4 linked regions of the Diceros bicornis minor genome follow. The protein of the gene in region 4 interacts with the protein of the main gene of each other region in a pairwise test. Links are inferred from orthologs where the notes say so. Each region holds a gene or a part of one and is shown on either strand. Other genes may lie near its edges.

Evidence for each region.
Region 1: the proteins of PITX1 (region 4) and IPO13 interact in binary tests that used the Homo sapiens proteins (3 or more experiments, as listed by UniProt). The link is inferred for Diceros bicornis minor from reciprocal best matches to the Homo sapiens genes PITX1 and IPO13.
Region 2: the proteins of PITX1 (region 4) and SPAG8 interact in binary tests that used the Homo sapiens proteins (3 or more experiments, as listed by UniProt). The link is inferred for Diceros bicornis minor from reciprocal best matches to the Homo sapiens genes PITX1 and SPAG8.
Region 3: the proteins of PITX1 (region 4) and ZBTB32 interact in a two-hybrid assay, tested with the Homo sapiens proteins (2 studies listed by BioGRID). The link is inferred for Diceros bicornis minor from reciprocal best matches to the Homo sapiens genes PITX1 and ZBTB32.

Annotation. Positions count from the first base shown.
Region 1 is NC_080752.1:6,847,579-6,855,200, forward strand, and holds the start of IPO13 (importin-13), read left to right. Parts: upstream 1-4,619; 5' UTR 4,620-5,413; coding exon 5,414-5,497; intron 5,498-7,219; coding exon 7,220-7,622. UniProt on the Homo sapiens protein: Functions in nuclear protein import as nuclear transport receptor. Serves as receptor for nuclear localization signals (NLS) in cargo substrates.
Region 2 is NC_080767.1:4,230,740-4,238,265, reverse strand, and holds the start of SPAG8 (sperm-associated antigen 8), read left to right. Parts: upstream 1-4,515; coding exon 4,516-4,540; intron 4,541-5,294; coding exon 5,295-6,070; intron 6,071-6,188; coding exon 6,189-6,363; intron 6,364-6,846; coding exon 6,847-6,892; intron 6,893-6,976; coding exon 6,977-7,091; intron 7,092-7,213; coding exon 7,214-7,276; intron 7,277-7,391; coding exon 7,392-7,526. Other genes in the region: adenosine 5'-monophosphoramidase HINT2, read left to right, coding at 2,565-2,630, 3,613-3,753, 3,851-3,955, 4,061-4,133, 4,229-4,356. UniProt on the Homo sapiens protein: Microtubule inner protein (MIP) part of the dynein-decorated doublet microtubules (DMTs) in cilia axoneme, which is required for motile cilia beating.
Region 3 is NC_080773.1:8,864,766-8,871,880, forward strand, and holds the start of ZBTB32 (zinc finger and BTB domain-containing protein 32), read right to left. Parts: upstream 3,001-7,115; 5' UTR 2,820-3,000; intron 1,721-2,819; 5' UTR 1,622-1,720; coding exon 735-1,621; intron 537-734; coding exon 400-536; intron 290-399; coding exon 221-289; intron 95-220; coding exon 1-94. UniProt on the Homo sapiens protein: DNA-binding protein that binds to the to a 5'-TGTACAGTGT-3' core sequence. May function as a transcriptional transactivator and transcriptional repressor. Probably exerts its repressor effect by preventing GATA3 from binding to DNA.
Region 4 is NC_080740.1:54,030,497-54,037,414, forward strand, and holds the start of PITX1 (pituitary homeobox 1), read right to left. Parts: upstream 3,008-6,918; 5' UTR 2,958-3,007; coding exon 2,783-2,957; intron 492-2,782; coding exon 259-491; intron 1-258. UniProt on the Homo sapiens protein: Sequence-specific transcription factor that binds gene promoters and activates their transcription. May play a role in the development of anterior structures, and in particular, the brain and facies and in specifying the identity or structure of hindlimb.

The sequences.
Region 1 (7,622 bases), on a different chromosome or scaffold from region 4:
TCCAGCCTGACACAGAGCCTTCTCAGCGAAGGCAGTTGCATGAACAAAGGCAGGGAAGTGGGAACAGCCTGGTGTGTTCCCAGGATAGCCAGCAATTTCATATAGAATTGGGGGAGGGTCCTCATCAAGACAAAAGGCTGGAGAGATCATAAAGGGCCTTGAATGCCATCCCAAGAAGCTCGGACTTTGTCCTGAGGGGGAGCCACTGAAGGGTTTGAAGTGGGATTCGCTAGAGATGTGCTTCTGATGGATCACGGGCTGCTGTATCTAGATGGACTCAAAGGAGAAAGGCAGTCAGAGCTGTTCAGGCAAGTGCCGGCACCTTGACCTAGGGCAGAAGCAGTGTGGGAGCAAAGAAGTGAGGAACAACAAGCGGGACTTGGTGAGGAACTGGTTGTGACGGCTCGATGAAAGGGAGAGTTTCCAGGTGTCTGGCTTGGAAGACTGGTAGGGAACATAGGGGATGTAGTATTTTCAGCGTGTGAGGGGGGTAAGGTGTGGGGGAGGTCATGAGTTCAGTTTTAGATGTGTTCCCCTTGAGGTGCCTATGACATCTTGAGAGGGCAAGCACCCGGCAACTGCTGGCTCTGAGGGTCTGGAACTCAGGAGAGTCTGGGCCAGAGAGATTGGGGAGTCACAGCTCAAAGCCAAGGGAGTGGCGAGATACTGAGGGGGAAGAGGAGAAGCAGAGGCTAAGGCAGCAGAACCAACATTTAAGGAACGGGGAGAGGAAGAGGGACCAGCCTGTGAAGGAGACCAAAAGGGAGTGGTGAGAGTGGCAGAGAAAACCAAAACAGGACAAGGGGGGGAGTGGTCAGCATGGCCAACTGCAGCAGAAGAATCAGGTTGCTGAGGACTGGAACTGCCCTTGGGTTTCTTACAGCGTGGTGGCCTAAGGACTCGGGCTGCCTTCTTGCTGAAAACAACTAAAAATATTAAACAAAATATATATTTTAAAAAACATATATTTTTTAAATATATAAATATTTTTTTAAATATATATTTTAAAAAAACAACAAATGCTGGAGAGGCTGTGGAGAAAAGGGAACCCTCATTCACTGCTGGTGGGAATGCAAACTGGCACAGCCTCTATGGAAAACAGTACAGAGATTCCTCAAAAAATTAAAAATAGAAATACCTTATGATCCAGCTATCCCACTACTGGGTATCTACCCAACGAACCTGAAATCAACAATCCAAAGAGGCTTATGCACCCCTATGTTCATCGCAGCATTATTCACTATAGCCAAGACATGGAAGCAACCCCAGTCTCCCTCGACTGATGACTGGATCAAGAACATGAGGTATATGTCCACAATGGAATACTACTCAACCATAAAAAAGACAAAATCATCCCATTTGCAAAAACATGGATGGACCTGGAGGGTATTATGTTAAGTGAAATAAGCCAGAATGAGAAAGACAAACACCACATGATTTCACTCACAAGTGGAAGATAAACCAACACAGGGACAGAGAGAACTGTTTGGTGGTTACCAGGGGCAAGGTGGGGGGTGGGCACAAGGGTGAAGGGATGCATTTATATGGTGACTGACAAACAATGGTGTACAACAAAAATTTCACAATAAAGAAAAAATTAAAAAATTAAATAAATAAAGGGGCCGGCCTGGTGGCGCAAGCGGTTAAGTGCGCGCGCTCCGCTGCGGCGGCCCGGGGTTCGCTGGTTCGGATCCCGGGCGCGCACCGAAGTACTGCTTGGTAAGCCATGCTGTGGCGGCGTCCCATATAAAGTGGAGGAAGATAGGCACCGATGTTAGCCCAGGGCCATCTTCCTCAGCAAAAAAAGAGGAGGATTGGCGGATGTTAGCTCAGGGCTGATCTCCTCACAAAAAAAAAAAAAAAAAAATTAAATAAATAAAAAAGAAAATTTACAGAAAAAAAAATTAAATGCATCTATGAGCTGGCAAACGCAAGAAATATTCATCCCAAAAATATAAGTGAAGGCAGGAAGCTAAAAGGTAAGCAACGCTCTGTAGTTGGCTTTCACCTTGAGAGCAGTTTCCTTACTCGATGAACCTGAACACTGGTTCCCTGAGCTTATGGTAGAAAGTCTACTCAGAAACTTCTCCATCAGGCCAGAATCCCAAAGGGCTATGCCCACACTTAAGGGTGAACTGGAAATAAACCTGCCCCTCCTCTACCTAACCTCTCTCCACAGGACTCCAAAGAAGTTTGCCTGCATTTAACCTCAGTGCTAAGTGGAAGAGTAGAAAATCTCCCCTGAGAACTCTCAACTACAAGCAGGCCCTCATCTGGTTTTGCAGACCAAATTCACACTCTTTTGGAAGGCTGAAAAACCTCAAACTGAGAAGTTAATGTCAAGGACATAGGCTGCTGGTGGTTCCAAGTGACCCACAGACGCTCCTTCTCCTCCTCTCCTGGGCTTTGGAATGCTCTCTCCTGAATCTGGAGACCCCTCCCAGGGTTGTCACAGGTTCTGGCCCCTATATGTCCTATTCTTGTCCCTCAGAGAGAAGAACCTGTCTGGAACTAGCTCCCAAAGATTCATTCCCCACTTGGCTCTAAGCTATCCTGGATTGCCATCCACATCTCCTGGAAGTCTTCTTTGGTCTGGCACCCTGAAATGCCCCAACCCTCCCCAGGGCCTACTTCAACCCATCTGTCCCAGGTAATGTTTGTGAAGCATGTTCAGGAGCATTGTTGGTGAGACTTGGCTTCTTCCTCTGGCAGGGGAACCCCCAGGCTCAAGAAGAAGCCCTGGATTGGAGGCAGGAAGAAAACTCCCATTGACCAAGTTGTGGCCTCTGGGTGGAGCCCTATTCATGTACCATCTCAATTTGTCCTTTGCTGGAAGAATTACTGTTCTCATTTGTGTGTGTGTGTGTGTGTGTATGAGGAAGATCAGCCCTGAGCTAACATCTATGCCAATCCTCCTCTTTTTGCTGAGGAAGACCGGCTCTGAGCTAACATCCGTGCGGAACTTCCTCCACTTTATATGGGACGCGGCCACAGCATGGCCTGACAAGCGGTGTGCCCAGGATCCGAACCCAGGCCACCAGCAGCGAAGCGCGTGCACTTGACCACTACGCCACGGGCCAGGCCCCAGTTCTTATTTGTTTGAAGTGAGTTTCAGAAGAATTCGTGGTCTTATGGCCAGAAAGAGTCAGAGAAAGGTTTTGAACACAGGCCTAAGTCCAGAATTTGTGCTCTCAACCCTCCCCTCCCCCTTCCACAGTGACATCTCCAGTAGGCATCAGGGCCAGGGCATTTCATACCCCTAGGCACAGACCTGGAGTCAGTTCATTTTGGCTTCCTGTTTCCTCCTTCCAAATTTGCCCTGCCTCTCCTTCTTCAATTTCTCCTACATACTACAGATAGATTTTTCTACAATGCAAATCCAATCACCACTGCCCATTTGAAACCCCATCATGGTTTCATATTGCACTTAGGATAAAGTCCAAACTCCTTGGAGAGCCTACCGCTCCCAACTTGTCTTTCCAACCTCACCTCTGTTACTCATCCCTTCCCCCTTCCTCACCCCACATATATTCCCTTAAACTGAACACAAATTACTAGCTGTACTTCAAAGACTCTTGATAAAGATTTGAATGACTAGATTCCCACTGGACTTTGCTTATCAGCTAATTGAGCCCCCTCCTCCCCAATCTCTATTCTTCAAGCTCAGATCAAGTTTCTTCTCCTCAGGGAAGCCTTTGTCCACCTTCTCAGGCCTCGGGGGCAATTGCCAATGCCAGCTTCCTCCACTGAACACAAGTACAGAGGTCCTTTCCCTTTTGATATTTTTTTCCCTGCTGGGATAGCTGGCGAGAGTTAATAAAAGGACAAGTGGAGAGGTAGGGGTAGGGATGATTGGTCTCTGCTACCCTAGCTGTGTGTCCAGGGACAAGATAAGTTCAACTTGCCCCAACTTCGGTTTGATCTCTGAAAATGGTGAATAAAAAGACCCACCTCAGAGTCGTTGAGAGAACTGGACCTAAAGTGTGCAAAGTACTGTTCCTAGCACTTAGATGTGAACTAGTCTTATTCTAATTACTCATACAGACAAGTTGCTTCCAAGAACTTGATGAAATTCTCCGGGCACTGTCCATGGTATGTGGTCTCCCAGTTGCTCATTGGGTGGTCCTGAGAGCCGTCTTTTCTAACTCGTGAGGCATGCCAAGCCCCCCTGCTCTTCTCAGGGCCGTGCTGATGCCTTCTTCCCAGACAGCCCCTTTCCTGGGCCCCAGGATGCGCGCGCAGTGGAGCACCAGAGTGACTTGTCCCCCGATCCCCAGCCCCCAACACACACATCTTATTCTCCAGCCTGGGCTCCCACCTCCAACCACTGGCACCTTGAGTCACATCCTCCTAGGGAGCTGCCCCGCACCGCCTCCTGCCGGTCTGACTGGGAGTGCCCGTCAGCCGCGGTGGGCCCGGGGTTGACCGGCACAGCGGATCCCAGCCCACCTGCTCCAGGCCTCCGCCGCAAGGCGCCGCCCTCCCGCTAGGGCCATAAGGACTACATTTCCCAGGGTGCACAGCGGCGGGGCCTTGGCTCGGTGGGGACCTCGAGAGGGGCGCCGCTCCGTCGCCTGCTCGGGGGCGCGCGGGCTGGCGCGAGGACAGGATCCGGAATGAGTTTCCGCGCAGTTCCGCTGGGTCGGGCCGTGCCGGGCCAAGGCAGGCGCAGGTGGGGTACGGCGCTTGAGTCGGCGGTGCCAGAGACAGGCGCTCGGGGCAGCCCGCGCCTCGCTGAGGTCCCCGCCTCGTCCCGGCCGGGCCGGCTCGCTTGTCAGTCACTGGGGCGGAGGCAGCGGCAGTAGCGGGGCCGGAGCGGGCTGTGAGAAGAGCGCGGGCCAGGCCGAGCGGAGGGGGTCTGCCACAGCCCCTCAACTCTACGGACTCTTCGCCCCAGACTTGCGAAGCTGCAGCCCCGCGCTTCGCTGGACTCCTCCTTAACCCGTGAAGGGCTCTCTCCTCCGTCACCCCCCCATCCCCGTGACCTCCTCATGGGACCCGAGAGCTCACTCAGATAAGGGTGTTGTGGGTACAGGCCCTCGACCCTGTCACCCCTCACCGGCCCGGAGCTCGGTTTCCCCCACGGGCCTCTCTCCCCTGTGACTCCCTCCTCACAGATTCTGGGGACAGAGCCGTGACCTACCACTAGACCCCCGCCTGGGAACTCCTCACTGACGGCTCCCTCCTCGGGGCCCCCTCTGGGTCTCCTCCTAAGAGCACCACTTTTGGTCTCTGGCAAGCCCCCCACCCCCAAGCGAGGTGGGGAGGCCTCGGCAGCCATGCCGGCCCTGGGCCCCCTGTCACCCCGCCACTCCCTGGGCACCCGAGCCGGGGTCTAGCAGGGGGCCAGCAGCCGAGGGGCTGGGGCAGGAGACAGGTCAGGGTCCACCTCTCTGCTGAGGAGGGAGCAAAGATGGAGCGGCGGGAGGAGCAGCCGGGGGCTGCAGGGGCTGGAGCAGCACCAGCCTTGGACTTCACTGTGGAGAACGTGGAGAAGGTATGAGGGCCCTGGGGTGGGCACTCCAGTGACAGAGCAGAAGTTCTGGGGATTGACACTAATGCCAGAGCCCAGGCCTGGGCTGGGCGCCCGCTGGGATGGTGCCCCCAGAGCACCTGGCATTTGCTGTTCCTCTGGGCAGGCAGGATGGCAGTGTTACAGTGTCCTAATGGGCTATTTTTGGCCTTCCTTAGACTAGAGTCCTTTGTGGATAGATACTCTAGGGTCTTGGGATGCTGCGGGGTGCTGATGGCTTAGACCTCTAGCCAGACTGGCTGTTCTCCAGCCCCATGGGAACTGCATGAGCAGTGCAGTATGAAATCAGGAACCCAGGAGACCTGCAGCTCAGTGCCCAGGAACTATACTGATGCTGAGCCATCCTGGACCTGTTTTGTTGAGCCAGAGGCTCAGAAAATAATCTGGAATTAAAACAACCTGGGTTATGTTTTCACTCTTCCTTGGAGAAGGGTCCTTCCTTTATTGGGTGGAGACCAGACCAGTCCTGGGCAGGCAGGAGAAGGGCTGGCCCGCTTTGTTTTGTGCTGGGTCCAAGGGGTCTGGTCCTGCTGGCAGCCTCAGAGTCCTTCCCTATTCACATGCCCATATAGCTTCCTGCCGTGGCCCTCCCAGTCCGTCTCTTTGAACTGCTTCTCTGGTTCTTCTCTGGGTTCTGTCCCCAGAGGCCTGGGATGAGTGGGGAGATGGGGCTACCTTGCTAGAATGCAGGGAATGGTTGTAGATATTCTTTTGTTATTCTCGAGCCCTGTTTGCTGTAGTAGTGAGGATGATCCCTTCTGCTTCTGTTCTCTGCCTGCCTCAGCATCCCTGAGGGGCCAAAGAAGGGACAGTGGCCATAACTGGCTGTCAGAAGTACAGATAGGGCTAGGCCTCCTTGGATGGAGCCTGCTTAAGGGGTCAGAGTCCTGGCCTCACCCTTCCATCCCCTGGGGCTGGGCGGTGTTGGCATGGTGGTGCACTGTTCCATGTGCAACCAGGGAGATAAACCACTGTTTTCTTACTGTGTGAAGTCTCAGTGGAATTGGGACCTAGGGGGTTTGGCTGCTTAGAGCTCCAGCCTAGGCATTTGCCAGGGCTGTAGGCCAAGCCTTCTCTGGACCAGCTTTCTGGACCCTCATGTGTGCTCCCTGAGGGGTGTTCTCACCCTCCCCTGCAGTATGTCTCTGCCCTAGGGCTGCCTGGCAAAGTCTTAGTCCTGCTCAGATTTCACACTGGCTTTGGTGCCAGCATGTGGAGTGACCTAGGGATGATCCTGGGGGAGCTGAATGGAGCTGTTGGAGTTGATGGGAGCAGCTGTGCCTGGGAGGGTCCGGGCCCCTCAGGCTGTTCCGTGCTCTTCTCAGGCTTAGCTTCATCCCCATGGAGCCATTCGTTCCACCTGGGCCTTGCCCTTTACCTCAGGTGCCTGCCCTTTGGGAGAGCTCAGCCTCCTCCTTTTCTGCTTTCCCGTGGAGGTTCACTGTCTGAATCCATGTTTTGCCATAGGAAGAGGCTATGATAAGGCATGGGCAAGGTTCAGGCTCTCAGGGTATCAGCAGGACCCCAGGCCCAGGAAACACTGCAGAGCCCTGAGCTGTCCCTTCCTGCTCAGCCCTGCAGTCAGAAAGAGAGAGCAGTCTTGCAGGACCAAGTCACGCCCTCTGATCTGGGCTCTGGCAGGATCCAGAGTGGCCAGCACCTGCTCAGTCCTGTGCTGTCTTGCAGGCGCTGCACCAGCTCTACTACGACCCCAACATTGAGAACAAGAACCTGGCTCAGAAGTGGCTGATGCAGGCCCAGGTCTCCCCACAGGCCTGGCACTTCAGCTGGCAGCTACTGCAGCATGACAAGGTGCCTGAGATCCAGTACTTTGGGGCCAGCGCCCTGCACATCAAGATCTCTCGCTACTGGAGTGACATCCCCACTGACCAGTATGAAAGTCTAAAGGCACAGCTCTTCACCCAGATCACCCGCTTTGCCAGTGGCTCCAAGATTGTGCTGACTCGACTATGCGTGGCACTGGCCTCCCTGGCTCTCAGCATGATGCCTGATGCTTGGCCATGTGCCGTGGCAGATATGGTACGGCTCTTTCAGGCTGAGGACTCACCGGTGGATGGCCAGGGCCGCT
Region 2 (7,526 bases), on a different chromosome or scaffold from region 4:
ATGGGGCCTTTATGGAGCTGCAGGGAGCGGGATCTTGTGGAAGTTCCCCTGTGAAGTAGGAGACAAGGTCAGTTGCTGGTGAGGGAGGAAAGGGATAAGAGTGGGGAATAGGAGACAGGAAGAGAGGGGTGAAGGTTTGGGAAGACTAATGTGGGGAACTGGAGAAAAACCTGATCAGTGGGTAGTGGAGGATTCAGGTACAGTTGGAAGCAGGAACGCAGAGAAGCAGAGAAGCAAAATACTTAGATTAAGTGGTGATGGGAGGGTGTTGGGGAGGATGATCAGGAAAATAAGGTAAAAGAAGGCTTGAGGATGTGGAGGGAGCTGACCATACAAATAGGGAAAGAAAGCGAAGCCAGGAAGCAACTGACAAGTTGAAAAATGGAGCAGTCAAAGGAATAGAAGTCTCTAATGACGTCTAGTAGCAGATGTCGTGGCGGGAACTAAAGCACAGGAGGCAGTGGCCAGAGCTGCAGAGCACTGCAGCTTTCAGATGAGAGCAGCTGTGAGTGATCACAAGGGCTTGGAGTAAAGAAGACTGTGGGCCAGGGGCCAAAATCAGTGAATGTAGGTGAGTGACTAGGAAGCCCATAGATGATTCTTATGGGGAGTAGGAGATCCTGACACTAATGGGCTCTGTGATCCTAGGGAAGTCACTTTCCCTCTCTGGGCCTTAGTTTCTGGATCTGTAAAATAGGAATAATCTCTGTGCTACCTGCTCTCTATGAGAACCCAAAGAAATAATCAAAGTGCCTTGTCCTCACCTAATCCTCCTGGCTGGTTTCCTTCCTCTTCCTAGATCACAGCTCCTCTATCTCTTGCCCTTCTCGGGGGCAGCTCTAGGGGCTGCTGCTGTCCCAGGGGCATCGCAGAGAACTGCAGCCTCTGGGGCAGAGAGAAAAGGCCAGTCTACATTTCCTCATGTTTCGGGAGGTCGTCTATCCTTCGAAGGGAAGGAGTGCAACCTGGACTGCTGGAATTCCTGGGGAAAATTACAGGTTCAGTGTCTGCTCTGTGGAGGAGAATGGACTTTCTAATAATAATATGGCTATACGAAAGGGATCATTCCTCTCTCCGGAAGTAAAGAGTTCTTCATTCCTGGTTACATGCAATTAGCACCACGATGACCATGCACTAAAACTAATTCAATTAATAGTCAACAATAGAGGAATGGTTACTATGATAAACTCATTCAAGGAAGTATTATGCAGCCATTACAAAGTATATTTACATAGATTATGCACTAACATGGAAAACTGTAAGTGCAATAAGAATATGCAGCACATATGTATTATATATTATGAAAGGAAATGAAACACCAAATGTTATTCATTCCACAAATAATTATTGAGCACCTATATGTGTCAGGCCATGTGCTAAAAAAACCCTAAAGATACAGTGGTGACTTTTGTCCTGTGTGTTAAACGTCAGACTAAAACTTACCTGGTGTGAGTATATTAGCATTTTATGACCCTATGTTTCTTATGTCAAAAATATATATTCCAGCAGACCTAAGTAAACTTCTGACAGAGCCATGACGCATTTACCTTGTCCTTCAAACCTGACTCACTGAAAATGCCAGGCACAGACCTGACCGTATCACACACTTTTTCTGATTAGGCAAGAACGCTGGATACACATTCCTTTGCTTATTAGTCGGTGCGGCAAAGATAGGACACTCCCGCCCCGGCTCGTAAAGAAAAACGCAAAAAACGCCCTGAAAACAAACTGCAGAATCTTTCCTCTTGGGGTGAATGTGTTAACAAGAACATAAATCATGGAGGAATTGCCCTTAGATGAGTAAGTTAAAATCTTTGAAATGCTTAAGGGGCTGAAACTGCCCTTGTGGGGAAAACGCTGGGTATCTATCCCACCAGTTAAAAAAAGACCCCCTTCCACTTCACCGCCAGCCGCGGCAGTCTCGCGTCCTCCACCCGCCCCTGCCCTCTGGTACTCCTAAGGCCTTGGACTCCAGGTTAGCGGTTGTTCCTGGGCCAATCAGCGCTGAGAGCCCTCAGAACCCCGCCCTCCTCCTGCCCAATGCGGTGAAAGGGTCTGCAGTCTCAGAGCCGCCCTCGCCCCACCCATCGGTGGGGCCAGCCCTGAGTGGGAGGAGCCACGAGAAAGCCCCGCCCACTCAGGAGCCGCAACCGCGGCGCGGCGGGTGTTGTGAGTCAGAGCCAATTGGAGGGCGTTCCTCTTTGGGTCCTTCGGTCTTGTCGCTGTAGTGAGAAATTACCTCAGAGCGAAACTAGCTCTGGGATCCCGCGGAACAGGGACTTGCACGCTGACTAGAGGACGAAGCCAGCGGAGTGGAGGAAGGGCCCTCGAGTTGGCGTCGGAAGCCAGTGGGATGAAAAGATCCTAGCGCTGCGGTGGCGGGGCGCCAGCGCAGCGGACTGTGCCACCGTCCGGGCGCAGGGCCGGCGCGCGGACCCCAGAGCGCCCCCCGGTGGGGCGGCAGCGCGCTCCCGGCCTGCGGAGCCAATGGCCGCGCTCGCCCGCTCTCGCGGCCCCGCCTCGGGCCGGCCGCCGGCCGCTGAGGCTCCCGCGGTGGACGGAAGATGGCGGCCGCGGCGGTGCTGGCCGCCGGGCTGCGCGGGGCGCGCAAGGCTGTGGCGGCCGCGCAGGTGAGCAGTGGCGGCGGGGGCGAGGAGGGGTCCCGCGGGGTCCGACGCCCTCCGGGGCCGCCTTCCTCCCCGGCTGCCCAGACGGCGCATCCTGCGGCCTCGCGGAGACGGAGCCCGAGCGCCCGGCAGGGACGCTGCCCTTGCCGAGGCGCAAGCTCCAGGGCTGTGCGGCAGGCCGGATGGGTGGTCGCGGCAGCCGCTCCGAAAGCCCTGCTGCGGGGGAAGCGAACGGGCGCCGAGAGCGGGACGGGGTCAGCGCGGCAGCCTGTGCAGCCCCGCTGACCGGGCGCCCGCCCCGCCAGCCCCCGCGGCGCCACTGCAGGAGTGTGCTTGCTCTCCCGGAGCCCGCCGCCGCCGCCTTGGGCCCGGGCCCTCCGCGGGGCGCTGGTGTTAACCTCTCGTTTCCCCACTCGCCGGAGCGGCTCCAGGGGGCCTCCCACCCTCGTCTCCCTCAGTGTGGCAGCACTGACCAGCCTTCTCTGAGCCCCTGGCAAACTGGGGCTTCCCTACTCTCAATCCCCTGGCGCTGGAGTTGCTGAGTTCACTTAAATCTTCCCTCCACTGATTCAAGAGACTGGAGTTAAAATTCACTGTAAGAGGTCAAATGTGACACCCGGACGCCCTCGTGTCAAACAGAGCAATTGTATTAAAACCTGAATAAAACAAGTAACACGGCTTAAAGATCAGAAAACAAGTAATGGAAATAAGTGGAAACTTATTAACAAGGTGAGAGTAAATGGAAGGAGCTCCAAGTGGTCTTAAGAGGTGATGCAAATCACCCCCTTTATTTTATAGTTGAAGCCGAGAGAAGGGATTTATATAAGATATTTCAACGGTAAAATAGGAACTGGGACCTAAATCTCCAGGTTCTCTTTCTGGATCCTTTCCCCTGAACAGATTTTTATTTTACCTGCGATCCCTGAGAGTACATGGGAGAGCTATTGCCAACTCCTTCCCTGGGGTGTGTCTGACCCACCTTCAGGTCCGAGGAGCTGCAGGTGTGACTGATGGGAATGAAGTGGCCAAGGCCCAGCAGGCAGCTCCTGGGGGAGCAGCCCCAACCATCTTCTCCCAGATCTTGGATCGAAGCCTCCCAGCTGACATTCTGTATGAGGACCAGCAGGTGGGGTGCCCTTAGGACCCATCCCCTTAGGAATTTCATAGATACCATCCAGCTTGTTGAAGTAACATGGTGGCCTCTGGCCTGTCACTGCTCCCAGTGTCTCGTATTCCGTGATGTGGCCCCTCAGGCTCCTGTGCACTTCCTGGTCATTCCTAAGAAGCCCATTCCTCGGATTAGCCTGGCTGAAGAAGGAGACCAGCAGGTGGGAAGAACAGGGCAAAGTTTTGGCTGGGGGGAGCCCTAGACTTAGCTAGAGGTTTTGCTTCTTGAGAATGAAGCCATCTGTTTCTCTCCCCTTTGCCTGTAGCTTCTAGGACACCTTCTCCTTGTGGCCAAGGAGACAGCAAAGGCTGAGGGGCTGGGAGATGGATACCGACTTGGTGAGTGACTTTTGGCCCTTGAGCCCCTCACCTATGAATTCTCATACCTGCCCCTCAATGTGATCGTCATTCTTTGACCTTTCCCATGATCCCAGGATCCCATGATCCCCTAACCCCAAGCTCCATTTCAGTGATCAACGATGGGAAGCTGGGTGCACAATCTGTGTATCACCTGCACATTCATGTACTTGGGGGCCGACAGCTCCAGTGGCCTCCAGGGTGAAGCTACCAACTGATGAAGGACCCCAGGCCCAGATGCTTGGTTGGGGTGGGGAAAAAGGGACCCTGTGATGCTAATAAACTTGCTCTTTCTCAGTTTTGGATTGCTGTTTTAAATACATGAAGACATACCACAAATGGGAAAGAAAACTGATTTGAGGCTATGATTCTCCTTGACTATGGCCTGAGTGAGACACTAAAGAGGGCTACCCTGTAGTTGAAGGAGCGTTTGCGTATATAGATCTTAAGTCCTCATAACTAGTGGTCCACCTGGGACAAGCTCTTAGAAAAGTAGCAGTAGGAATAAGCCTGAATGTGTAGAAGAGTCTGAAACCCAGGAGTGAGAATTATGCAATCCTGACCCTTATTCAGATGCCAAGACAAATTCTAAGGGGGTCTGGAGGAGGATGGTCAATGTGATGGTCTTTTATTGGAGAAGTAATCACACCAAAAAAGCTGCTACCCTTTTACTAATCCCATGTCTCACCGTTTTGCTTTTAAGCTGTTGTCTGACGTATTTTCATCCTTAAAAATTTTGAGAAGACTCCCTCCACTTTTGAGAATGAACTAAGGAAAACTACTGTTGCCCTCACACAAACACCAAGTAGGCTTTTGTCTGATGCCACAGCCCTGTGCCTGTCTCCAACACAAAGAACCACTTTAGAAAGTCGCCAAGAACCGTGCTTGGGTGTGGAGGGCGAGGCCATAGGCCAGCGGAACCTTAAAAGCCGGGCTGAGGCGGATTGGAGTCCGGACGGAAAGCGGGACTTCCAGACCGCACCAGGTTTACGACTTCCGCCCCGCAGAGAATTTGCCTCCGAGTCCGCCCAGCTCTCGTTCTGCGCAGTCTCTGGAATTGTTTGCCATCTCTATGGCAACCCGGTAGCTGGTGTCTGAAGATGGAGACAGTCGAGTGTACCGCGGGGTCGCTGTCGCGGTGAGAGCCGCAGCTCTGGCTGCAGGCATCAGGGGACAAGGAAGGTCGGCGGACTTCCTCTGCTGCGCTTTTGACAACTTGCACACATTCGCTTTCTTTCAGATCTGTAGACGCACAGTCCCGCTCCGAACGACTAGGGCCCGCTTTGGAACCGTTTCCTTCTTCGGATGGCAGTCCTAAGTCGGCCCTGGCAGCCACAACCACAGCAGCTGCCTCCACCGCCAAAGAAGCTGTGTTATCTGCAAAGACACCAGCGCCCTACTCTGAGCAGAGCCTTCTCATGGAGCCCTTTTCTGACAGTCTTCTTGGGGAGCCCAGCACTGGACCCAGCTTTACCCACCAGACAGGCCATGGGAGACTTGGCTTTGAGCCTGCCTATGTTCCCTGTATTGCTCAGGATCCCTGTACTACAAATGATCTTAGCTCTAGCCCTGGCCCTGTTCCTGGCTCCACTTCTGTTCCTGGCCGTGGCTCTGACCCTGGCTGTGGCTCTGGTCGAGGCACTGGTCCTGCCTCTTGGCCTAGTCTAGGCTGTGGCCATGACCCTGAGCACAGCCCCTACACTCGTCCAAGCTTTAGGAACCCCAGGGCAGATCTGGTCCCTCCCTGGGGTCACCACAGCCACTGGGAGCCTCAGAAACAAGAACCCTGGAAATGTTTGCAAGTCTCAGAACCTGGTGCCCGAGGGCTATGGAAGCCCCCTGAGATTGAAGGAAAACATAAGGTCCCCAATGAAACGTTGCCTCGGGGCCAGTGCCTTCTCCACAACTGGGAAGAGGAGGTATTAAGGTTTGAATTTGCTCCCTTTGCTTGCAGGCTGCCCCCAGTTTCCTGGGGGAGTTTATGTTGAGGGTGGGTGCCAGAAGGCATCTCATGGTCACTCAACTTGGGACCCACAGAGAGCCACCAACCACCTGGATCAAGTCCCAAGCATGCAGGATGGCTCTGAGAGTTTCTTCTTCCGACGTGGACACCAGGAACTACTGACCCTGCAGCTACAGTCCCCCATGCCCTTCACCACCACCCAGAAAGACTCATACCAGTCCCTGGGAAACCACCATCAGCCAATTCGAGGTGTGAAGCATGAGAGAATGGGCCATAATGAGTCTATTAGTCAGAGATAAAAGGAAGGAATTTCTGGTGGGGCTGTGGATTGTCGGATGGGTATAAGGGCAAAACCCCATGATTTTCCTTCCTTTTCTCAAATTTTTTTCTTCTGAGCCTGCTTTTTTTTTTTTTTTTGTGAGGAAGATCAGCCCTGAGCTAACATCCGTGCTAATCCTCCTCTTTTTGCTGAGGAAGACTGGCTCTGAGCTAACATCTATTGCTAATCCTCCCCCCTTTTTTTTCCCCCAAAGCTCCAGTAGATAGCTGTATGTCATAGTTGCACATCCTTCTAGTTGCTGTATGTGGGACGCAGCCTCAGCATGGCCGGAGAAGCGGTGCGTCGGTGCGCGTCCAGGATCCCAACCCGGGCCGCTAAGCCATGGGGCCGGCCCCTGAGCCTGCTTCTTAACCAGCCTCCCCTACTCTTGTCCATTTCCTGCCCTCCCACAGGGAAGCGTGAAGCCATGCTGGAGATGCTCCTACGGCACCAGATCGGGTGAGAGGCTGGGGAAAGGGGAAAGGGGAGGAGGAGGACAAAAACCAGGGGAGAATGGCCTTCATACCCCCAAGTTCTGTACAGTAAAGAGGTGCAGGCAGAGCAGGAACCCACAAGGAAGAACTGTGAGGTTGAGTCTGTGACACACCATGACTACCGAAAGGAGCTGATCCAAGTAGGGCCTCCTGCCCCAACAAAGGTGAGAAGCCATCCCACCCTGCTTGTACAGCTAGGCTCTGAAGGGCTGTGGGAAAGCAGCAGGCCCAGAGACAGAGAGAGGCAGCTTCAGGCCAAGAGTTATTCAGTATCTCTCCCTCACAGCCTCACGACTACCGTCAGGAGCAGCCTGAAACCTTCTGGATACAGAGGGCACCACAGCTACCGGTGTGTGAGGGTGATCGGGTGTTGGGAGTGGGGGAAAAGAAGGCAAGGAAGAGGCTGTTCTGTTCTCGCTTGGCGGCGAGCCATGGGATCTGTCCTCATTCTGGCCCTCCTCCAGGGTGTCAGTAACATCAAGATACTGGACATGCCATTCCGGAAGAACTGCAGCTTCTCAACACCAGTGCCTTTGTCTCTGGGGCAGCCTTTGCCCTATGAACCTGAGAATTATTCCCACCAGTTGGGAGAAATATCT
Region 3 (7,115 bases), on a different chromosome or scaffold from region 4:
TAGGGCCTGGACCGAGCAGGAGGGGGCAGGGGGGGGTGCTGGCAAGATGGGCGGCCTGCAGTGCCCATATGACCCACACAAGTTGCAAGTGCACCTGTGGGGACGGAGAAAGCAAAAGAGGGCAGGGCTGGGAATCCCAGAGCTGGATTCACTGCAACACCCAGGCAAGCCATCAGGGGCTACACTGGGGCTGAGGCAAAAGCTCCCTCACCCTCCTCACCTGTGTGCCTCTGATCAGACTCTTCCATCTCCACAGGGCTGAGCTGTGCGGGGCCCTGGTGGAGGGAACCTGGAGGGAGCAGAGTGAAGTAGGGGCCCTGCTCAGGCTGGATTCCTGGACCCCCAGCCCCAGGGGAGAGACCACATTATAGGGTTCATGCAGGGCAGTGAGGGGCTTACCTGGGGTTGGGCTGGAGGAGGCCACTTGGTTCTGGCTCCAGAGCCCTTTGTGGAGGTTTAGGGACAGTGGCATCCTGGGGGTGGGGTGGGGAAGAGTTACAGCCTTGGCAAAATCTGGGATTGTGGCCAATCTCTTCCTGGGGAGGGAGGTGTCATGAGTCCTCCTCAGGGACTGGGCTCTGTCTTCCCCTTTGGTGGGAGCTTCTTGTCCTGTCCCCAGCTCAGGAAATGTACAGTAGAGATAAGAGATATGGTGCCCTTCCACCCGTCACCGCTGCCTCTCCTGAGCCACTCCTTCCCAGCTTGGGAGGTCTTCCGTGAGGCCCTTCACTCACCTCTCGTCCTGAGGCCAGACCTCCTGCCAGGTTCCAGTGATGGGGGTGCTATGGGGGAAGGGGGTGCCATATCTGGGCGGCAACAGCAGGATGCTCCATAGGGCAGGCTGCCCCTCCCCTAACCAAGGGGCCTCAGCCCACCAGGGCCTAGGGGTGACGCTGGTTTGGAGGGAAGCAGGTGGGGGAAGGGGGCCAGGGAACTCCTGCAGACTTTCCTCAGAGCCCCCTGGAGTCTCCCTCACCCACATGATCACTTCTTGCTTCCCATCTACTCCCCCATGGCCAACAGGGAATTGGTTGAGTTTCTCCTTGAATCTCATCTGCACTCCCTGGCCCTCCCTCGTTGCCTCTGCCATCTCAGGGCTCTCTCTTGGTGGCCTGTGCTTCTGCAGTGTTTCCTGTTCTCGCCCACCAGCTCTAACAAATTTCTCTGGTCTCTGCTTCTCTCCAAGGGCCCCTACTCCTCTCTCAGAACCCTTTGTGGGTTTCTCTGGCTCCTCCTGATGTTCCTTCAGTCCCGGACCCAGCTCTTCTCTAGCCCTGTCCCTTCGAACCCTTCTGCACGCCTCTTCCAGGGACTGTACCCCCAAGGCCCTGGCCGCCTCCTCAAGGGGTTCCAGTTCCCCAGGCTGAAGCTCTACGCTCTCTCCATAAACAAAGTATAGAAGCTGGGCAAAGGTGGAAGGGCTGATGCCTTTCACCAGAGCCCAGCGGCCCCTGCGGCCCAGCTGCTGGCTTGCACCTGCCAGCACCAGGCTGTGGGCAGGGAACTCCTGGCTCCCCACGGTGATCAGGGTATCACATAGTGCTGGCCGGAGCCTGGCTGCTAGCCGTACCAGGCGATCAGAGCCATAGGGGCTAGGCAGTCTTGTTGGGGACAGGGGCATTGTGCCTTGCCTGGGTACCAATCTCAGAGGTTCTGAGAGAAAGGCCACAGTGTGGGGTCTGTGGCAGAAAGGAGAGGGAGGAACAGCATATTCTCAAGCCTGTGGAGGGAAGGGGAGAGTGAGTGAGTTGCTGGTTCTGGATCAGAGCTCTCTGTCCTGAATGGAGCAAATAAACTAACCCAAGAGAGGACCTGAGCTTATCCAGAATCATAACAGGGGCCAGGGTTGGGGGTGGGAGTGGTGGGAGAATGGAAATTAGACCAAATTCAGGACTTAAAGAGCAAGGACAAGGCAGTTAACAACTATATCAAGTAGTGGGTTTAAGACTAGTATAAATGGGTCCTGCCAATTGGCAGTCTCTGACTTAAAGGATAGCAGATGCTGATACTTCTTCTCCAAGCCCCTCTGCAGGGAAAACTCTGAGCAGGCCAGGCTTTCTTCATTCCAGACACAGAGATCACCATAAAACCCAGCCCAGGCAACTAGGGTTGGAGCAAGACGCAGCTTCATGGGAGAGTTTAGAAAGCTAGTAGTGTCCTCTTCCCACAAGCCCATCACGTGGAGCTGAGGGTCCTGAGAGGCAGAAAGGGCAGCAAGACAGGGTCGTAGTTGCAGGAGGGCAGGCTCTAAGGCATCAATCGATCATCTCCCTGAGGCTGAAGCTTCTAGAACACATTCTCAGAGAAGGAGCTGGAAGAGACCAAAGACTCCCATCCAGTGAGTTAAGAGAGCAGGTGCAGAAGCCACAGGAGAGAAGGCTCCCGACCTAAGGATGGAGAGAAGTTTTGGAGAAGACTTTGACTGCCAAGGAAGCAGGAGAAAGGGACATGGGAACTGTAGAGCAGGAGGCTATTTCCTCTCAATATTAGGATAAGGAGATGGTTTAATTTTGTTTTTCATGAGCCAAAAGTGAAGAATAGAAAGACAGCAGCTAACGAGGCAGAAGTTTATCACACATCAAAACCACCACATTGGCTTTTAAGAAGAGAACTGGGAACCCAGTTACCAAGAGACAGACCCAAGTGTCTCTGTGCCCAGCAGGCATATTCCTAGGTGTGGGTGCACTGTGAGTAAGGACGCTTCTGGGAGGGAGGATTACTACTTGGACACCTCAGGAAGAGGGCTACAGGTTGGCAGGAAGTGGACAGAAAGGGGGGTAAGGGAGGAAAGTCTCAGCTGGGGAGAAGCAACCACTCACCGGTTGTAGCTTCCTCCTGGACACCGCATGCTCTGAACTGCTGTTGGGGCTCCTGGGGCCCCCCCGCTGGAGCTAGCCCCGCCTCTGACCTCACAGTCTTCCATTGGGTGTCCCAAGTATCAGTCTGCCACAGTCCCCCAAGGGGGTGTGGTTTTATACTCCCGGCTCTGCTTCACCCCTCCAGGAGAGACCACCCCCTCTACTTCCAGAATCCAGGCATTGCCTCCTGACCTGTCTTTATTTCATTTGTGAACTTCTCCAGTCAAAGAAGTGTAACTGAGGCAACAAGAACTTTGGACTAATCAGACCTCACTTGAGTTTCATCTCGACCATTTTCTAGCTGAATCACCTTGGGCAAGTCACCTCTCTGAGCCTCCGTTACCTCGTCCATGAAATAGGGATAACCTCTGCTTACCTCACTTGGAGGTGGAAGTGAGGATGAAATGACATGATGAATGTGAAAGTGGTTTATCAGTACACAGCGTCATTCAAATAGTATTAGTTCTGTTTCTTAGAGGTGTCATTAGAGCTCTAGCAGCTGGAAGCTGTTTCTACTACCTGAGAAGTAAAAAGGACTGAAGCATCTAGATTCCAAGAAGAGAGTGAAGGAGGGCCGAAAGCATGCCTGACTTAGTACTACCAAGCCTTGACAGCTATGTGGGAATGACCCCTGTCATCTGGGCCACCATTGGGGACTGCATGTGTGAGTGACTCAGATCCTCCCATCAAGCGCTGAAGGGGGCAACCCCAGGAAGGGCTTGCGGTGGTCTTCGAAGAGAAAAACTCCTTTTCTTGAGTTGATGACAAATGACATTTCTCTGAAATCAGGACTCCAGGGTTTCTTTCACTTCCTGCCCAAGGGGTCAAGGTCCTTGGAGATTTCCCCTCTTTTCACACTTTACCACTCTTTAACCTGGGGAAAGGATGAGGTCTGAGAGACTCAAATTTCTTTTTCTGTTTCTTGTTATTCCATTATCCCTCATCCTGTGGCAAATTTTTCATTCATTCAACAAGTGTTGATAAATCACTCATGATAAGTGCCTGGCATGTCATATATGCCAAATAAATAACTGGAAGATATACAAGTCAGGCACGGGTAGGCTGCTCTGATGACGAGACATGGTCTGGCTCCCCCTAGGCTTCTCCCTTAGATTCTGGTCCCCTCCTAGACTCAAATATTATGTCTCTAAACTCCTGCTTCTCCCTTTGGCTCCAGGACCCCAAAATGTTCAGACCAGCCTTCTACTCTCTCCCTCCAGACCTAACATGCCTTCCCTCTACCTCTCATTCTAGCTTGGGTGCAGGCAGAAGTTAACCCTTCCTAGATCAGACAGGGTGTGCCAATGGGTGGGGCTGGTGGAGGGGCAATAATAGGGTGGGGAGAGGGGAAGATGAGTCAGAGTGAAAGGGAAAATGCAAATGGGCAAGCTTTAATCATTTGCTTCTCTGAACGTTAAATATTTTCCATTTCTGAGCTTTCTAATTCCTCACACCACCACACCCAGGGACTCATTAGACACCCATATAAAAGATACTTGGCCTGGACACATAAAAGCACCAATCCCTGATATGTATGTATACAGAGGGAAACATCCTTCCTCCAACACAGAAATACACAATCCTTGAAGATATGGAAGAAGTGGGGAAAGCCAAGAGGGAGATACCTCAAGTATAGAAGAAAAGGTACAGGGGTCTGGAAGATTACATCATCACCCAGTGGAGTGTAGTCCCCCTCACCTCCCAGCCCTATATCATGTGCCTGTGACTCAGCTCCCCCACTGGTGTGGTTTGCTCATTGATCAAGAGAACTGGAGACTGCTCAAAGGGCAGCATCCTCTGTAAACCAAATGTAGTTGACAGAGAGTGTCAGTGGGCTTTCAGGAAACCTAAAAGGGAGGAGAAGGGGCAAGGGGACTCCCCATTCAGTGAACAAAAGCCCCCAAGAATGGGAAACCCCATCTTGCCTCCCACTTGGTGTTTACCCCGTCTAAGGATATCCCTTTAGAGACTGCCTCCATAGAGGTATCTCTAGGGCCTCTACACCTCAGCCCTTGGGCTGATGACACTCTAGGCCCTTCTCTCTCCCTACATTTTTGACTGCATAGCCCAAGCCATCTTGCACTGAGCAGTCACAGCAGAAGCAGAAGCAAATAGCACTTTGACTTGGAAAGATAGGGACACTGCTGACTGTTTCTATTCTTTTTTTGGGGGGGGGTGATATTCACCCTTTGCTAACATCTGTTGCCAATCTTCCTCCTTTTTTCTCCCCCCTAAAGCCCCAGTACATAGTTGTGTATACTTGTAAGTTCTTCTGGTTCTTCTATGTGAGCCGCCACCACAGCATGGTTACTGACAGATGAGTGGTGTGGTTCAGCACCCGGGAACCGAACTCGGGCCACCTAAGCAGAGCACGCGGAACTTTAACTGCTAGGCCATCAGGGCTGGCTCATGACTGTCTCTGTTCTTGAAAGGTCTCCCCTCCCCAGTCTCAGAAACCTTGTCCACCTTCTACTTCCCAGGCTGACTTAGTGGGAATCACCTGCAGCTGTCTCCCTGGGGTGGGGCCAGGAAACCGCAGATTATGAGGACACAGCCTGCATCCTGGGAGAGGGTAGAGTGGGTGGGAGAGAATAGGTAGCACATAATTGGAAGAGAAGTATGTGGGAAAAGGAGGTATGATTTTTGCCTCTCAGTTCTTTCTGATACTCATACTACTAAGCAAAGCTTGAAATCTGATATTTTTTATTCTTACTGATAGGCTTGACCATAAGCGCCTTATAAGCTCCTTAAAGCACAACCCAGCTTGATGTAAAAATATCAACACAGCAATACAAGCATGGATTCCCTTTAAATATTATCATTAAAATTAAACCATCAGAATAGGCCAATTAGAGGGATGATTATTTGTTTTATGAAGAATGTTCCCTCTATCTCACTTATTTTAAATGTTGAGTACCCCCAAAGCCAAGTTTAAACAAGATCCAATTTAGAACAATTCTAGGAACATTCCACTCTTCCCAGGAACACATCTCTTTCACAAATTAAGATGCTTAAGCCCCCTACAGCATTTTATATAAAGACCAATTATCCAAACTTACATAAACTTTCAAATGTTCACTCTTTCTAGTTAATTACATCCAACACATAGCAGAGAAGAGACACCACAGAGTGAATTCGTTTCCTTCTTCCCTTAAATCTGTTCTGTGTAACCCAAGAACCAGATATAGTCATAGCCAAGTGAGCTGAATGTAGGTTTATAGAGACCCTATAATAGCACACCTTTTGTGGATTAAGTGGAAAAAGAACTAGACTAGAAGTCAAAAAACTTAGGTTCCACTGCATCCTCACAGTGGATGGCCTTTTTCTTCAGCCCTAATATGGAGCTAACTCTTCCAAGACCCTCAACTTCCTCACAGGGGCTGTTTTCAAGAACAGTACTGAATAGCAGCACTGCCTTAAACCCAGGCAGAGGGCCCCACTCTGATGTCTTCTGGCTAAGAAGTCCAAGGGCATCCAGGAAGTGCTCACCTGGAACCTGTGCCCCCCAGTTCTAGACCATGCTCTGGGTACTCGGAACCCTGGACCTCCTGGCCCAAATGGCCCACTTCCAGGGCCTACCAGGGTCCTGGTCTATACTCACGAGAGTGGACTGTGTGCCTGAGGTACTGTATGTGAGGGGCATGGAGACTGAGCTTAGACCTGCAGGCTAGTATGTGAGCCACCTTGAAGTGTGCGCCAACACCAGGTGTGGGAAGAAACGGGAATCTCTATTTATAGTCTTCCCTAGCCCCATAAATAACACGGAGCCTGCTTTATTCCAATGATTCTTAACCTATTAGGGGGTCACTATCCCTTTGAAAATGTAAGCCATGGAATCAACTCTTTACATCAGAAAATTGTCGACTCTTGTACCATTTTGCATATGAATAACAAGGCATTCACAGACTGCGCTGAAGCCCATCCTTGGACAGGTTAAATACTCCTTCTCACTTATCTGTGTGACCAATTTTGCCCCCTATTCCCCAAAAAATCCAACATGCATGCAGTTTTTCATATGATTTCCAGGAGCTCACAGACCCTTGAAATCCACTCATAGACCATCCTCTTGCATCCCCCACCCCTGGTTTAAGAACTCTGGGTGTATGTAAAAGCACTCCGAAAGCTTTAATACCATGTAGAGCTTGAAAAGCTGAGTGAAATTAGACATCCACACCCTGGCCCGTGAATATAAAAAGATCTTCGGTAAAGTCAACCTGGGTGATTTCCTAAAGAGCAGATATCTCACTCATCTCTTCC
Region 4 (6,918 bases):
GAGCCTGACAATCAGGTAGGATGCGGGTCAGAGGGATCCGAGGTGGCAGCAGCCGAGGGACGCTAGCGGCCAAAGGGTTTAGCCGCAGCCGAGTGGCCCGGGACCTAAGGTGGAATCTCCTCCGGTGGAGGGAGGGAGAAGGTCTGAGTGGTGACAAAGTGTGAAAGTCTGAGCTCAGGTCTAAGCTTTGGAGGGCTGCGGCAGAGGCAGCCGGTAGCCCTGTGCGCGGCTCCCCTTAGGCGCGCGCCCCGCGCTCACCCTCACGCGAGGCTCGGTGAGGTTGGTCCACACGGCGATCTCCTCCCTCATGCTCATGTCGGGGTAGCGGTTCCTCTGGAACGTGGCCTCCAGCTCTTGCAACTGCTGGCTTGTGAAGTGCGTGCGTTGCCGCCGCTGCTTCTTCTTCTTGGCAGGGTCCTCCGCACCACCGCAGCCCGCGCCGCCCGCACCGCTGTCCTCGGGCCCCTTGGGTTCCCCGCTGCGCTCCTTCTCTGAAGCAGGCAGGACGGGGAGCCGGTCACGTCGGGCTTATGCCCTTTTGCACCCCGTCCCGGCTCCACCGAAGCGCCGGCCATCGGCGCTGGCGGCCCTCCCGCCAGGGGCCCTGGAATTGTCCCCACTGGAAAGAGCCTGCCGAGTGCCTGGTCGTCAGTGGTCACCTTTGGTCAGGGGTGCTCCAGAGACGAGCCCAGCAGCCGGAGCCGCGGGCCTAGGTTCCCGGCTGGGCAGGGCCTGCTCTCGCAGCTCCGCTCAGGCCCGAGCCCTACTGCTGAGGTCACCCGCAAATGTACGATTTTTTGCGGGCTCTTGGGGGTCTAAATCTAAGGCGATCTCTGCTTTTCTGAACTAGGATTAGCTCTTTCTAGCCTGAAGCTAGCAGGTCGGTGGAGCAAGAGCCAGGCAGTGACCTGCAGCCCCTCCTCTCTCTACTCCCCAGGGCTGTGTGGGAGCCCCACTGGGCTGCCATGGCGCAGCCGGCTTCTCTGCCTTTGCTCCAGGCCTCAAGTCCCAAGGCCTAGAAAATCCCTCCGGCGGCAGCCCAGACCTACAGACTCTGTCTAGGTGACCTGGGATTCTAGCCTCTCTCTCTTTGAAGCTACACAAAGCATACCCAGTCATAGAAACATTGAAACATAAAGAAAAAGAATTTAAAATCAAAACACAGAAGCCCAGAGAAGCCCAGAGCTCTATGCCTAAAAGCACAGGAATGGTCACAAACTCTTAAAAATAGGCAGGTAGGAACACAGAGCAAATGCAAATTAAGAAGCCAGAAACCGTACAAACACACAGCTAACTACGGTGCTGTACTACGGTGCTGTACGTGCATAAACTTCAGGCAGACACAGGCATTTATTTCTCTGGGATTAAAAAAAAATCAATGTACTGTTGTGGATAGATTTTTTTAACCCTTTCCCAATAACGCCCTTTTAGAGATAATTTTTAAATATAGGGAAATACAACACTATAGTTAGATAAACTCCCAAAATAACACGGCTATAAATGGATTTTGAGAAAATCCCGGAGAAACGCGCCATTTTGGATTGACTTGTAAAAATCTCCCGAAGAATAATGTTGCACGTAGATATTTTAAATTCCAGAGAAATATACCTGGTATAGTAATTCTTTCTATATCGAAAAATACAGTTAAAATTTTAAATTTATCCTCATAGGTTTGGTTTTAAGAAGAAATCTCGATATATTTCTCTAGGTTTTAAAAATAAAAACCAACCAAAGGCCTCGCTTAAAACTTATGAAAACAAAAGTACAGTCCAGCGTCGATTGTTTTTTAACCAAGCAAACAGAACCTCTTAGAGAAAGTCACTTAGGGATGCAAAACAGAAACAAATAGAGATTAAAAACGCGTAGAGAAGCACTCAGTGGTGGATTAAGAAATGAAGGCAGAAGAGGCGCCCACGGCCCGGGGAGTGGGGAGGTCGGCGGCTACGCCGAGTTAGGACGGCGAGCGCGGGAGCGGTTCGGAGACCGGGGAGGCCGGGCCGGGGATTAGCGGCCCCACTGCCCGCGCCGCCCACCCGCTGGCCCAGCTCGCGACCGGGGGAAAAAGCTCGCATAAAAAGGCAGCGCGGAGGGAGACGTGCCCGACCCGAGTCGGGGCCCTGGCTGGGCGGCCTGGAGGCTCCGGGCTTCGGCGGCGCACGTGGGGCCGGGAGCCCTCGGTTAGGGGGTCCTGCCCAGAGCAGGGCCGCGCCCCTTGGTCCTGTCTCAGGCTTCCTTATACTTGAGGTGGTTTTTCTTCCCCCCAGTTTGCTTTTCTGACTTTTCCAGCCACCCCTGCTCTTCGGTCTCTCCCCTCAATCTGTCGCCCACTATCTGTCGGGGTGTCTGTCCCCTCTCTGTCTCTCTGGGCACTTTCTCTCGCCTGCCATTCCATTACCTTCTCGAACTTCTCCTATCCTTCGGTCTGAGCGGCCCCTCGGCACCCAATTGCGCAAACCTAACTTTTTTTTTCCCTGTTCTATTTGCTCCTGATCAAGAGGGACTGTCAGTCCGACCCTCTGGTTGTAGGTTCGTGCCTCTGCCGGTCTCGGTGCGTGGGGACCAAGTGGAAGTGCCTTCGTAAAGCACTAAATTTCCGCTTCTTAAAGCGTGTAAATTTCCGCGTTTAGCGTCGGATCGAAAATGAGAAAAGGAAAGGTCCTGAGGCTCCTGGGGCGTAGGGGGAGCCTGATTGTGCGGCGCGGGGAGCCAGGCCTTGCTCCCGGCTCCCCGCGCCCTGCGCCCGGGCAGGCTCTGTGCGCGCCTCGCGGGGAGCCTCGCTTACCTGGCAGCTCCGTGTCCGACGACTCGCTGGCGGAGTTCTCGAGTGGCTCGCGGGGGTCGGTGGCGCGGGCCAGGTGGAAGGCCGGCCCCATGTCGTGCGGCGGTGGCGGCGGCGGCGGCGGCCGGAGCCCCTCCGGCAGCCGCTCCAGGCTCATGCCCCCCTTGAAGGCGTCCATGGAGGCGCGGACCGCGGCGGGCGCTCCAGGGGCCGGGGCTGGGCGCACCCGGCCGCCCTGGCTGCGACCTGCGGACACAAGAGCGCAGCGCCTAAGCGGCTGCCCCCCAGGGCTGCCCGCGGCCGCAAAGACGCCGCGCCGGCCCCATGGACCGCCCGGGGCTGCGGGGCCAGGCGGGCGGCAGCGGCAGCGGTTTCTCGCGACCGGGCGCCCGGCTTCGCGCTCCGCGCTGCGCTGCGCCGCTCGGGCCTCAGCCGCCCGCCCGGCCCCGGCTCCGGCTCCGGTTCCCGATTCGGGGCCGGTTTCTAAGGCTCCGGACGGCGCCAGCAGAGTCTGTCTTAAAGCGACAGCGCGCACCGCCAGGTTCCAGCAATCCCCGCGCCAGGGGTGGTGAGTGGGGTGGGCCTGGGTGGGAGGGGGCTGGGGAGGAGGGAGCGAGCGAGCGAGGGAGCGCGGGCGGAATCCAGTCCCGAGCCGCCCGCGCCGCCGCGCCCTCTTTGCCGCCCTCCCTCCCTCATTGCCTCGCCCGCGCCCTCCCCCTCCGCAGCCACCTTCCCGCCGCCTCCCCGCCCCCCCGCGGCCTCGCCGCGCCTCTCCCTCCTTTCCCGGTGACACACCGAGTTCTCCCTCCACGGCACAAAAGAAACGCATCTGGCCTGCAAGTCCCGCGCGGCTCGTGCCCACCTCAAGCCCCAAATGACTTGTTTCGCTCAGAATCAACTCCTGTCTGGGCCGCCTCGAAGTCCCCAGTCCCCGGTGAGAACAGCCCAGGATGAGTGAACGTTCACCGAGCAGGATCGCACCGAGCGGGCGCCTCCGAGCCAGCGCCAGGGCGGGGGCAGAGCCCGGGGCCCGTTCTGGCGGCTCCCAGCCGAGTCCTCGTCGAGGGGCCGCAGGCCCCTCCTTCCTCGGCCTCTTCTCCCGGGACCTGAGCCCGGCTGAGTGACAGCAGCCTGCGCTCTAATGGGCCCCCGGATGCTGCCTCCTAATTAGCTTGGACCCTCTCCCCCAAGGCTGCTTCTCAGGCCTCCCCTCAGCACCACAGTCAATTTTCCGGGATTGGGATAGAACTGATGGCTTCTAATCAGACGAAACGTTTCTGTTGGCTCCAGGCCGCTGGCGAGTGCAGCAGGAGACCCCAAGAGCCCAGCCAGGCCCCACAGCCTCTTTTGTAGGGCTCTCTCCCCTTGTTTTGCACCTTCAGTGGTCAGGCCCAATCTCAGGCAGGCCCTGGCAGCCACAGGGTGGGCCTCTGCCCCCTTCAGGGCAGGTTTGCAGCCGCTGGGGACTCTGTTTGGCTTCCCAAGCTGTAGGCATAGGCCTGGCAGGCCAGGTGACTGCAGTTTCCCAACCGTGGGCCTGCAGCCCAGGAAGCCTATGGTCTTGGAGCTTCTCTCTCATACAGTGGTAGCTAAGCTGCAGCACAGTGGGCCCTCCACCGGCACAGGCAATGACGGTCCCCTCCCCACCACTAAGAATGATCCCCTCCTTGAATCCTCCTACTTCAGTGAAGTTTGTTGAAGGATTTTGCTCAACAATTGTTAACTGGCCCTGAGACCTCAGAGTCTCGAGCAAATAGGTGACAGCTGGGGTAGTAGGGTGCGGCCCTGACCTGTTCCTCTGACCATAGCTGGACCCCAGGCTGCCCTCTGCTCCTCACCTGCTGACCAGCTCCACCAGACAGGAGCAGTGCTGGGCAGGACAACAGTCTCGGGTGGAAGCACTGCCCTACTCTCTAGGCCCAGTGCCTCAGCCAGGGCCCAGTGCATCCTCATCCCTCCTGGAGATCTCTGCTCTGGACTAACCCTGCCGGCGGCTGTCAGCATCTGCGATGCTCTGCAGGCACTGCCTTTGAGCCCTCACCCTGGCTCCCCATCAGAGGGAGGGACCCAGGCCCCAGGCTCAGCTTCTTGCTGGGGATCGCAGGGGCAGGGGCGGGCGCAAGGTGGAACCAGGCCTGCTTCCCAGTCCCTTGGCTCAGCACAAGGTCCCCAGCTCTAGGCCATGGAGAGAAGGCACAATTCCTTAGGGTCTCGCCCACTCTCAAGAGTGCCTGTGACCACGGGCAGGGTCTGAGGCTGAGGCCAGAGGGAGGATGCATCCCAGGAGTTTGGGGAGGCTCAGCAACTCCTGCCCTTTCCTCCCAAAGGGAAGTTTCTCTAAATTGAGACCCCCAGGATGAAAATAGTCTTGTGTGTGGAGATGGCGGGAGGGGTACACGGGGCAGTAGGGTTGCCCAGCATTTGCCCTCAGCCTCATCTTTGACCACATTTCTTGGCTGTCTCCTGGAGCGGCTCCTTTCAAGGAGATATGCAGGTGCTGCAGCATGCCAGGGAGCGCCCCTTCACACACCGCCTCTGTGTAGCTGCCTTACCCTGACAGGACAGCATGCCGCCCAGCCTGCCTGCAGACAGACAGGGCACCACGGGAGCATGCACGCACACATACGTACTGCATACCCACACAGGTGTGCTGTGTACACACACACACGTACTCACTGTACCCACACATGGGAGTGCTGAGTACAGTCACATATGTATACACACAGCCAGGCCTCTGGGTCCCAGAACGCTGATGCTGTTTGGCACAAAATCTGGCTGGTAGGGAATAGGAGGTGTGTTCCAAATCTACCAAGTGCCAGGCCGAGGTAGGAAGCACAGTGCCCCTCTGGGTGGGGACACAGAATGAATGGTCTGCCCTGGGCATCCAGAGGCTGAGGGTCACAGCCCTCCACTCTTTAGAGGGACTAAAGAGTCAGACCTTCCATGGATGGGGACTGTTTTGTGACTCTGTAGCTCTAGCTATTCATTCTGAGGGGCTTGCATCCCTCACTGTTGATACATTTAATGCAGTTATTGAGCACCTGCTGTGTGCTCCTCTGGACCCAAGTCTCTGGCAGTGCTCCAGGCAGTCACAATAGTCCCTATATTTGGAAATCTTGATGCCAGATGTGTGGATGGAAAGGCCCTCAGACTATTGCGGGTGAAGCTCCGTATCCCCAGGGGCTCTGAGCCCCAGAGAAGGGCTGAGACTAGTGGGGACTGCCCAGGGGAGCCTGTTCTACTGGCCCTGGGCACCGCTGAATGAGCAGGGGGCGAGGAAGGATTGATCGAGAGGAGGCCCTGGCCTGATCCTGGGCGTTGGCTGGAGAAGGGACCTGGTGCCCTCTTTCTTCTCCCCCAGCCACACCTCTGTTGGCTGTTATCCCAGACAGGGTAGGGGTTTCTTGCACACTCACAGATACGTCACACACAAACACACACAGGATGGAGGCAGCTGTCTTTCAGGAGTAAGAGTAGGGGTTCAGGGTTGCCCCAGCTTTGCTGTGTGACCTTGGGCAGGGCTTGACCTGCACTGGTCCTCAGTTCCCATGTCTGACATGGGACACAGCAATCTCTGCTCGCTGCTTCAGCCTCCTGCTCCCTTGACAATGGGACGTGAGGAGAGGAGGGAAGGTGGCTTACTGGAGCTGGAATCATGTGCCCTAGTTCCCATCCCGCCAGGCCACACAAAGCCAGCAATGAGTCTGTGGTTTTCAGGAAATTTGGGGCTTAGAGTCCTGGCTGGGCTGAATAGAGGAGCCTGGGCTGTTGTGGGGTTGAAGTAGTCACCGTAGGGACCCTTCCTGAGGCTGGGCTCCCTCAAAACAGACTCTGTACCCAAGAATGGTTTAGTAATTTTATTTGGGAACGGTGGTTAGAGGGTCCTCATGGGGGGCATCCTTCTACTTACTCTTGGGGGTACGCTGTCCTAATCTTTGCACCAGAATCAAGGGATTTTAGGGAAAGGGAAGGAATGTGCCATGGCTTGCCCCGGGGGCCATCCATGACTCTCTGGGACATTCCAGCCCTAAGCCTCTTAGGCCGTGGAGAAGTTCAAACTAGAAAACCCAGTTTTGGGAGTATGGCTGGGACCACCTACCTCCTTCTGCCCGATCTACACCCCCTCCCCAATAAAAACT